Linked DNA regions of Oryctolagus cuniculus. The protein of the gene in region 2 purifies or fractionates together with the protein of the main gene of each other region. This does not show direct contact. Links are inferred from orthologs where the notes say so. Each region holds a gene or a part of one and is shown on either strand. Other genes may lie near its edges. The genes, in order: SUMO3 and SAE1.

The links.
Region 1: the proteins of SAE1 (region 2) and SUMO3 purify together in Homo sapiens (affinity purification with mass spectrometry; 3 studies listed by BioGRID and IntAct, with this or other methods). This does not show direct contact. The link is inferred for Oryctolagus cuniculus from reciprocal best matches to the Homo sapiens genes SAE1 and SUMO3.

Annotation. Positions count from the first base shown.
Region 1 is NC_091435.1:1,757,158-1,761,556, reverse strand, and holds the start of SUMO3 (small ubiquitin-related modifier 3), read right to left. Parts: upstream 2,973-4,399; 5' UTR 2,811-2,972; coding exon 2,790-2,810; intron 641-2,789; coding exon 512-640; intron 1-511. UniProt on the Homo sapiens protein: Ubiquitin-like protein which can be covalently attached to target lysines either as a monomer or as a lysine-linked polymer. Does not seem to be involved in protein degradation and may function as an antagonist of ubiquitin in the degradation process.
Region 2 is NC_091449.1:10,355,068-10,358,864, forward strand, and holds part of SAE1 (SUMO-activating enzyme subunit 1), read right to left. Parts: intron 1,619-3,797; coding exon 1,445-1,618; intron 1-1,444. UniProt on the Homo sapiens protein: The heterodimer acts as an E1 ligase for SUMO1, SUMO2, SUMO3, and probably SUMO4. It mediates ATP-dependent activation of SUMO proteins followed by formation of a thioester bond between a SUMO protein and a conserved active site cysteine residue on UBA2/SAE2.

The DNA.
Region 1 (4,399 bases), on a different chromosome or scaffold from region 2:
CAGGACGAGCACGCTGGGCACGGACTGGAACGCCACGACCGTCGAAGCACAGACGTGTACGACCCATGAGCTGGTGAGACGAACGCTAGCCACCAGAAACGGCCGTTCTGACTGACCACAGGGGGGTGCTGCTGAGGCGGCTCGCTGTTTGGGAAACTGGGGGAGATCCATCATTTTCTCGCCGTTGCTAAACGAGCTGGCAAAGCACACTGCTGACGGGCAGAAGTAAGGCGAGGAGCGACGCGGGACCTGCCCGGCAGTGCATCGGAAGGCACCGGCCCCAGAGGGCGTCTCAGCAGAAGGGCCCGCCCGCGGTGAGCGCCACCTGTCCGTTTACAGGGGCACCGGGACGAGACCCCTGGGCAAGGCAGCCGGGGGGCGCCGCACCTGCCCCAGAGGGCGTCTCAGCAGAAGGGCCCGCCACGGTGAGCGCCACCTGTCCGTTTACAGGGCCACCGGGACGAGACCCCTGGGCAAGGCCCCTGGGCAAGGCAGCCGGGGGGCGCCGCACCTGCCGCTCGCAGTAGGCCTTCATCAGCTTGCTCAGTGGGGTGTGCCTCTTGATCTTGAACTGCACCACGGAGCCGTCCTGCCCGGCCACCTTCAGGTTGATGTGGTCATTCTCGGTCTTCACGCCCTCCTGCAGGGACAGGAAACACCTCTAAGGATCCGGCGCTCTCCAGGAGCTGAGGGGCGCCGGGCTTCACTGACGTCATGGCCACCACCTAACCGGCGCCTCCGTCCAGGCCCCTCCAGCAGGCGGCTGCTTTGTTTTGGCACAGAACGGACTTTCACCCCCAGCCGCTGGGCGTCCCGGGGGAGCAGCACGCCCGAGCCTGCAGGGCCCAGGAGAAGTCGGAAAACCCATCTTCGTTTGAAAGTCACTTTTACAAAACTAACAGAACCACACACTGCACGCAGCTGTGCGTGACTTCAGAGAAGCAGAAGGCAGTGTTGACAGGAGGGAGGGAAGCTGCGGTCCACGCGGCAGCGGCCAGGAGGGCCATGCGGCCCGGGCAGGTGCGGACACGTGCGTGGGGCTGCCAGCTCCCGGCCCCAGCCCCGCCGTTGCAGGCATCTGGGATACGCACAGGGCCGACGGGAGACCCTCTCTCTGTGTCTCTGACTCTCAAGTAAACACACTTTAAAATCTTTTTTTTTTTTTTTTTGACAGGCAGAGTGGACAGTGAGAGACAGAGAGAAAAAAATCTTTTTTTAAAAGAGGAAAAGAAGTCCTAAAACCAATTGCCCCAATTCATTGTGGTCAGTATTCTGGGGGGCAGAAATGGTTTTCCCATCTGACCACAAGGCTGCCTCCCCGCACGCCCACGCCCCACGGCCAGAGCAGAGCTGGCGTCCACCGGCAAGTTTATGCCATGGGCGAGGACCTGGGCCGGGGGGCCCTGCCCTGGGCACACGTTAGAGGCTGTGGCCAGATGCCGGCTTTCCTCCCTCACCCAAGCAGGGCCCGGCCAGGGGCTGGGCTCCAGCCTCCTCCCTCACCTGTGAAGGGGGCTGCTCACCTCTGACCCCAGCTGCAGCAGGAGCCCCAGGTCCCCAGCACGGAGCCCCAGGTCCCCAGCACGTGCTCAGAGACCGGAGCTTCCGCCTCCACCTACCCAAGGACTGCCGGCCTGACCCAGGGCAGCCCTCGGGGCGGGACAGGAAGGGGCCCACCCCAGGCCGGGACGATGGGAGCACCCTGGGACCTAGAGGGAGAGGGGGAGCACCCTGGGGCTGTGACGGGGAGGGGTGCACCCTGGGACCTAGAGGGAGAGGGGGAGCACCCCGGGACCGTGACGGGGAGGGGGAGCACCCTGGGGCTGTGACGGGGACGGGGAGCACCCTGGGGCTGTGACAGGGAGGGGGCGCACCCCAGGGCGGCGACGGGGAGTGGGAGCACCCTGGGACTGTGACAGGGAGGTGGGCGCACCCTGGGACCTAGAGGGAGAGGGGGAGCACCCTGGGGCTGTGACGGGGAGTGGGAGCACCCTGGGACTGTGACAGGGAGGTGGGCACACCCTGGGACCTAGAGGGAGAGGGGGCGCACCCCGGGGCCATGACGGGGAGGGGGAGCACCCTGGGGCTATGACGGGGAGGGGGAGCACCCTGGGGCTGTGACGGGGAAGGGCCGCACCCCGGGGCCGCGCTGGGAGACGGCAGCACATCCGGGGTCGCAGCGGGCTACCGACCCCGGCTACTCCCACTCTCTCAGGAGAGGGGCCACCGCGCGGGAAAACCTGGACGGAGGACGGGGCCACGCGAACACGCCCTCGAGGACGCGCGCCAGGGGGCGCACAGCGGGGGCGGGGCCAGGAGGCGGGGCTTGGAGCGGGGCTCGGGAGAGACGCTGTCAGGGCGGGGCTTCTCGGGGCGGGGCTATGACGTAAGAGGCCCGAGACCAGAAAGGGGGCGGGTCTCCGGGAGAGACCTATTGGGGGCGGGGCTAGGACGGGACGGGGCTAGGACTAGAGGGGCTCGAAACCGGCAAGGGGCGGGGCTCGAGAAGCGGAAGGGGGCGGGCTCGGGGAGGAGCTCCGACGGGTGCAGAGCAGGGGCGGGGCTCCGGGACAGACGCTGTCGGGGCGGGGCGAGGACGGGGCGGGGCGCGCCGCGGAGCCCGCGGTGGGGGAGGGGCGCGGAGGCCCGTGGGGGAGGGGCGGGCGTGCGGCGTGGGCCCGGGCGCGGGGCTCGTGGGCGCCGTGGCCACGGCGGGTGGGGACGGGGCCTGCCAGGAGCGGAGGCGCGGGTGCCCCGGGGCGGCGGGCGGCGGGCGGGCCGCGGCTTACCTTGGGCTTCTCCTCGGACATGGCTGCGCGCGGTCGCGGTCGCGGCGGCGGCGGCAGCAGCAGCGCGAGCGGGGCAGTCGCTCTCCGGGCCGCCGCTCTCCCGCCGCAACTGCCCTCGGGGCCGCGCTTTATCCCTCAAATCCCGGCGCGCCGGTTGGCCGGGGGAGGTCACGTGGCGGGCGCGCGTGCACGAGGCGCGCGCCCTGGGGCGTCGGGCGCGCGCCCGGGCGGGCCGCGGTTCCCGGCGGTTGGAAGTGCGTCACGGGGCGGGTCCCCGCGCGACCCCGCAGTCTGGGCGCCCGGGGGCGCGCGTGGGACCCGGGGCCGCAGGCTGTCGCGGGTGCCCGGCCCCGGGGACGCGCAGGGAGTGCACGGCTGGGGGAGCCCAGGGCCCGGGATCGGGCTTGGGGGCGGGGACGTGAGGGCCAGGCCTGGGCTCCGGAGTGGCTGCGCTGACGTGGGCAGGGTCAGGGTCCAGTTCGGGCCTCGGGGCCCTGGAGCCACCTGCAAGTCCCCTTGGGAACCCCCCGCCCGCGCGCGGCCCCAGGCCTCTGAGCTGTGCAGGCCGAGGCCAGGCCACGCACCCCCCACTTCTGCGGGGCTGCATTTCTCTAGGGGGTAAAGGAAAGGCGGTGGGGGGGGCTCGGGAGAGGCCCTTCCCCGACTGGAGGGGACCTGTGTCCTCTGTCCACATCACGCAGGCTTCTGCAGACAGGGCTGGGGTCACCAGGTCCTCTCCTCCCGGCCACTTCCCTGGCCGGCGCCTCCTCTGGGGCGTCCACTCTCCACCATGGGGAGCCCCCTCCCGGTGGTTTGGCTGACTTCTAGAATGCTGTCCACACCTAGTCCTCGCAACAACCCATTCACGTATGAGAAAACCGAGGCGGTGGGAGGTGAAACCACAGGCCGGGTGTCACCACGGGTGGGAGCTCGAGCACCTGGCCGCGTGGCCCATGCAAGATGGGGGCCCACGGAACCGCGGAAGGCACGCCCACCCCCGACCTTAATCACCTCGGATGGAGGGGCCGGTGGGCGGCACCAGGATGAGCCGCAGCCCAAGGCTCGGAACCGTTTCCATCCTGCCTGAGCAGGCCAGCAGACAGGTGCCACTCACCTCCTGGTAACGCTGCGGAGCCGCAGGGCATCTCCCAAGCCCCCTTCCACCCTCAAACGTCTGGGCAGGGCCACCATTAAGAGCAAAGGTTACTGGGGCTGGGGCTGGGGCTGGGGCTGGGGCTGAGCCTCCGCCTGCAGCGCCGGCATCTGTGGGCGCCTTCAGTTTCCAGCGGCCGCTCTTCCGATCCAGCTCCCTGCTGTGGCCTGGGACAGCAGCAGCAGGCCCAAGTCCTTGGGGCCCTGCGGCCATGTGGGAGGCCGGAAGAAGCTCCAGGACCCTGGCTTCGGATCGGTGCAGCTTCGGCCGTTGCGGAGAGAAGCAGCAGATGGAAGACTTCTCTCTGTCTGCAATAAATAAGTAAAATCAGAGAGAAAAAGACTGCTGAAGTCTGGCCGTGAGAGGTGCGCCCAGACCCAGCTTCCCAGCCCACAGGCTCCGGGTAGGGCTTGGTCTCTTCTGGCGCCCGGCCCCCTGCTGCCATGGTGGACGGTGT
Region 2 (3,797 bases):
AGATATGTTCTCCTCTGGTGTTTTAGAGGATGCAGCCGCCCGAGAAGAGTCACAGGGAGAAGGTAAGAAAGCCACAGGTGAACACGCAACCAGCGGACCCAACAACTCCCTGTGGAGTCCAGTCCAAAGTGACAGAAACATGGCTGAGGACCACCCCAACCAGGGGCCCATGAAGCAGTCAGTATTACTCAACCAACAGGCCACGTGCTTCCAGTCTAACAACCTCTCTTCCGATTCTCTAAGTTCAAGGGACACCTAGAGTAAACCTAATGTGGCTGCTACGGGTAAGGCAATGAGGACACGTGTCCAGGTAGAAAGGGTCCTAGTACACAAAGTTACAAAGTAAAAGAGATTGGGAAGAAAGAAAAGGACAAACACACAGACAATGCATCCGTCCACACTGCAAGTGAACAGATGTGGGTGCAAAATCTGTGAAGTACAAACCACCCAACTCAACTTCTACTCTCTCATGTAACAGGCCTGTCATTTTAAAAAAAGGCACTCACCATGATTATTTCACAGTTATCCAAGATTTGTGAAGCTTTTCCAGGATAGGTGCCCAGTACTGCCATAAAATTCAGCTCACCTTTTTCACCTCTGCACAGATCTGGTGGTGAACCCAAGTGAGGATTTGCCTCATTTGGCTCAGTTCTACATTTCTACATAAGAAAGACAGGCAGACGCAGGTACACCAAGATCAGGTGTGCTCTTTCTCAAGACAAAACACAGCTGTAGTTTGATATTTCTAGCCAAAAGTATGTCTCTACCATCGAAATTAATCACCAGATTGGGAAGTATGAGGGAGAAAACATTTGCAATAAAATGTATCACAGCTATGTGCAAAGATTCTGGAAGGGAGACAAAACAGCAATATGGAAACCTGCTCTGGGGGCCATATGCACAGAAAGGAAGCCAGCAGACAGCACGTCACAAGCGGCTACAGCAGGTCCAGCAGACTGGCCCTACCTCGCAGCCATCCATGTGCCATACTGAGCCGAGAGAACTAAGCAGCCTAAAGATGCACTTGGGGCCAGCGCTGCGGCTCACTAGGCTAATCCTCCGCCTGCAGCGCTGGCACACTGGGTTCTAGTCCCGGTTGGGGCACCGGATTCTGTCCCAGTTGCCCTCTTCCAGGCCAGCTCTCTGCTGTGGCCCAGGAGTGCAGTGGAGGATGGCCCAAGTACTTGGGTCCTGCACCCCATGGGAGACCAGGAGAAGCACCTGGCTCCTGCCTTTGGATTGCCGCAGCGTGCCGGCCGTAGCAGCCACTTGGTGGGTGAACCAACAGAAAAAGGAAGACCTTGCTCTCTGTCTCTCTGTAACTCTGCCTGTCAGAAAAAGAAAAAGAAAAAAAAAATGCACTTGGGGAAAAGCTCATCTGAGATGGGGAGATGCGAATGCTCCACTATTCATTTCTCTGCAGATCTTCCACCGCGAAACTCACAGCATCAAACTGCGTGAAGAACGACTCCGGCTTCTTCTCTATCTCCTCAGTGTCCACCTTCACGTCCACCATGGGGTTGAGGTTCTGGGCACGCTCCAAGGAGGCTTCGGCCCGGTTCCGACCAACAGACCCGGTCCGGATCAGGAACTGTGCTCCAGGATCCTCTGGAGATACCTAGAAATAATTTTTTTTTTCTTAAACCTTTGATTTTTTTCTGGGAAATATGCTCCAAAGACAATGAGCTTTTTTAATTTTGAAGGTTGGCTAGAACACTTACCATCTAATTGGTTAACAGTTCCTGCAGCAATATGCCCAATGCAGACTGCCTATTCTCAGTCCTCCTTCTGAGAAAAGGCTATTTAAAACAGGACATTTGGGGGACAGCGTTGTGGGATACTGGGTAAAGCTACGGCCTGCTCCACTTCCGATCAGGCTCCCTGCTAATGCACCCGGGGAAGCAGTGGAAGGTGGCCCAAGCGCTTGGGCCCCTGCACCCATGTGGGAGAACCAGAGGAAGCTCCTGGCTCCTGGCTTCAGCCTGGCCCAGCCCTGGCGGTTGCAGCCATTTGGGGAATGAAGCAGTGGATAGAAGTTCTCTCTCTCTGTAACTCTGCTTTTCAAATAAATAAAAAATCTTTTAAAAATAAAAATAAAATTGGAAACAGATGTTTGACTTTTAACTTTTTTTCTGGGCATTGGTGGTTAAAGAGCACCCCCTTGTGTTTATAGAGAAAAACAAGAAAGTCCATGCATTCCTTCTCACATTGATAACTGCTAACAAACTAAACCCTTACATGTGCCCAACGCTAAGTGTGGTCCCTGTCTCATGCAGTTTACAACCTGACTCGTGCAAGGCACAGTGGTGAGGACACCCCTGGGGACACCTGCGTCCCACATGAGTGCGCCTGGATTTGAGTCCTGCCTCCGCTTTCAATTCCAGCTTGCAGCTAATGTGCACCCTGGGAGGAGCCGGTGATTGCTCAAGTACTCAAGTACCTGCCACCCACATGAGAAACCCAGACTAAGTTCCAAACTGGGTTCCGCCTGGCCCAGTCCCAGCTGTGGGCATTTGGGGAGTAAGCCAGTAGATCAGAGATCTCTGTGTCTTTCAAGTAAATAAAAAATAATTAAAAAAAAAAAAAAAAAAACCATACTGGCCGGCACCACGGCTCACTAGGCTAATCCTCCATCTAGCGGCGCCAGCACACCGGGTTCTAGTCCCGGTCGGGGCTCCGGATTCTGTCCCAGTTGCCCCTCTTCCAGGCCAGCTCTCTGCTGTGGCCCGGGAGTACAGTGGAGGATGGCCCAAGTCCTTGGGCTCCACACCCCATGGGAGACCAGGAGGAAGCACCTGGTTCCTGCCATCGGATCAGCGCGGTGCGCCGGCCACAGCGCGCCAGCCACGGAGGCCATTGGAAGGTGAACCAACGGCAAAAGGAAGACCCTTCTCTCTGTCTCTCTCTCTCTCACTCTCTACTCTGCCTGTCAAAAAAACAAACAAACAAACAAAAAAAAAAACACAAAAAAAAACCCATACTAGTACAAAATTCAGACACAATTGAGAATGCTTAAAATGAACTTTAGGGGCCAACACCATGGCACAGTGAGTTAAGCTACTGGCTAGGATACCGGCATCCCATATGAGTGCCAGTTCAAGTTATGGCTGCTCCACTTCCGATATAGCTCCCTGCTAAGAACATAGGGGAAGGCCGGTGCTGTGGCTCACTAGGCTAATCCTCTGCCTTGCGGCGCCGGCACAACGGGTTCTAGTCCCGGTCGGGGCGCCGGATTCTGTCCCGGTTGCCCCTCTTCCAGGCCAGCTCTCTGCTGTGGCCCAGGAGGGCAGTGGAGAATGGCCCAAGTGCTTGGGCCCTGCACCCCATGGGAGACCAGGATAAGCACCTGGCTCCTGGCTTCAGATTAGCGCGATGCGCCGGCTGCAGTGCACCAGCTGCGGCGGCCATTGGAGGGTGAACCAACGGCAAAGGAAGACCTTCCTCTCTGTCTCTCTCTCTCACTGTCCACTCTGTCTGTCAAAAAAAAAAAAAAAAAAAAAAAAAAAAAAAAAGAACACAGGGGAAGATTGGCCCCTGCCACCCAAGTGGAAGACCCCAGTGGAGTTCCAGGCTCCTGGCTTCGGCCTGCCCAGCTCTGGCCAATGCAGTCACGTAGGGAGTAAACCATCAGGTGGAAGATAATGTTTCTCCCCCTCTCAATGTAACTCTTTCAAATAATGTAAGTAAATCTTTCGTAAAAATGAACTTTTAAATTCAATGAAATTCAACCAGAACAATAGAGGGGACTGGAGCAGAGGACTTCCACAGCAGAGCCTGAAAGATGAAATGATATAAAC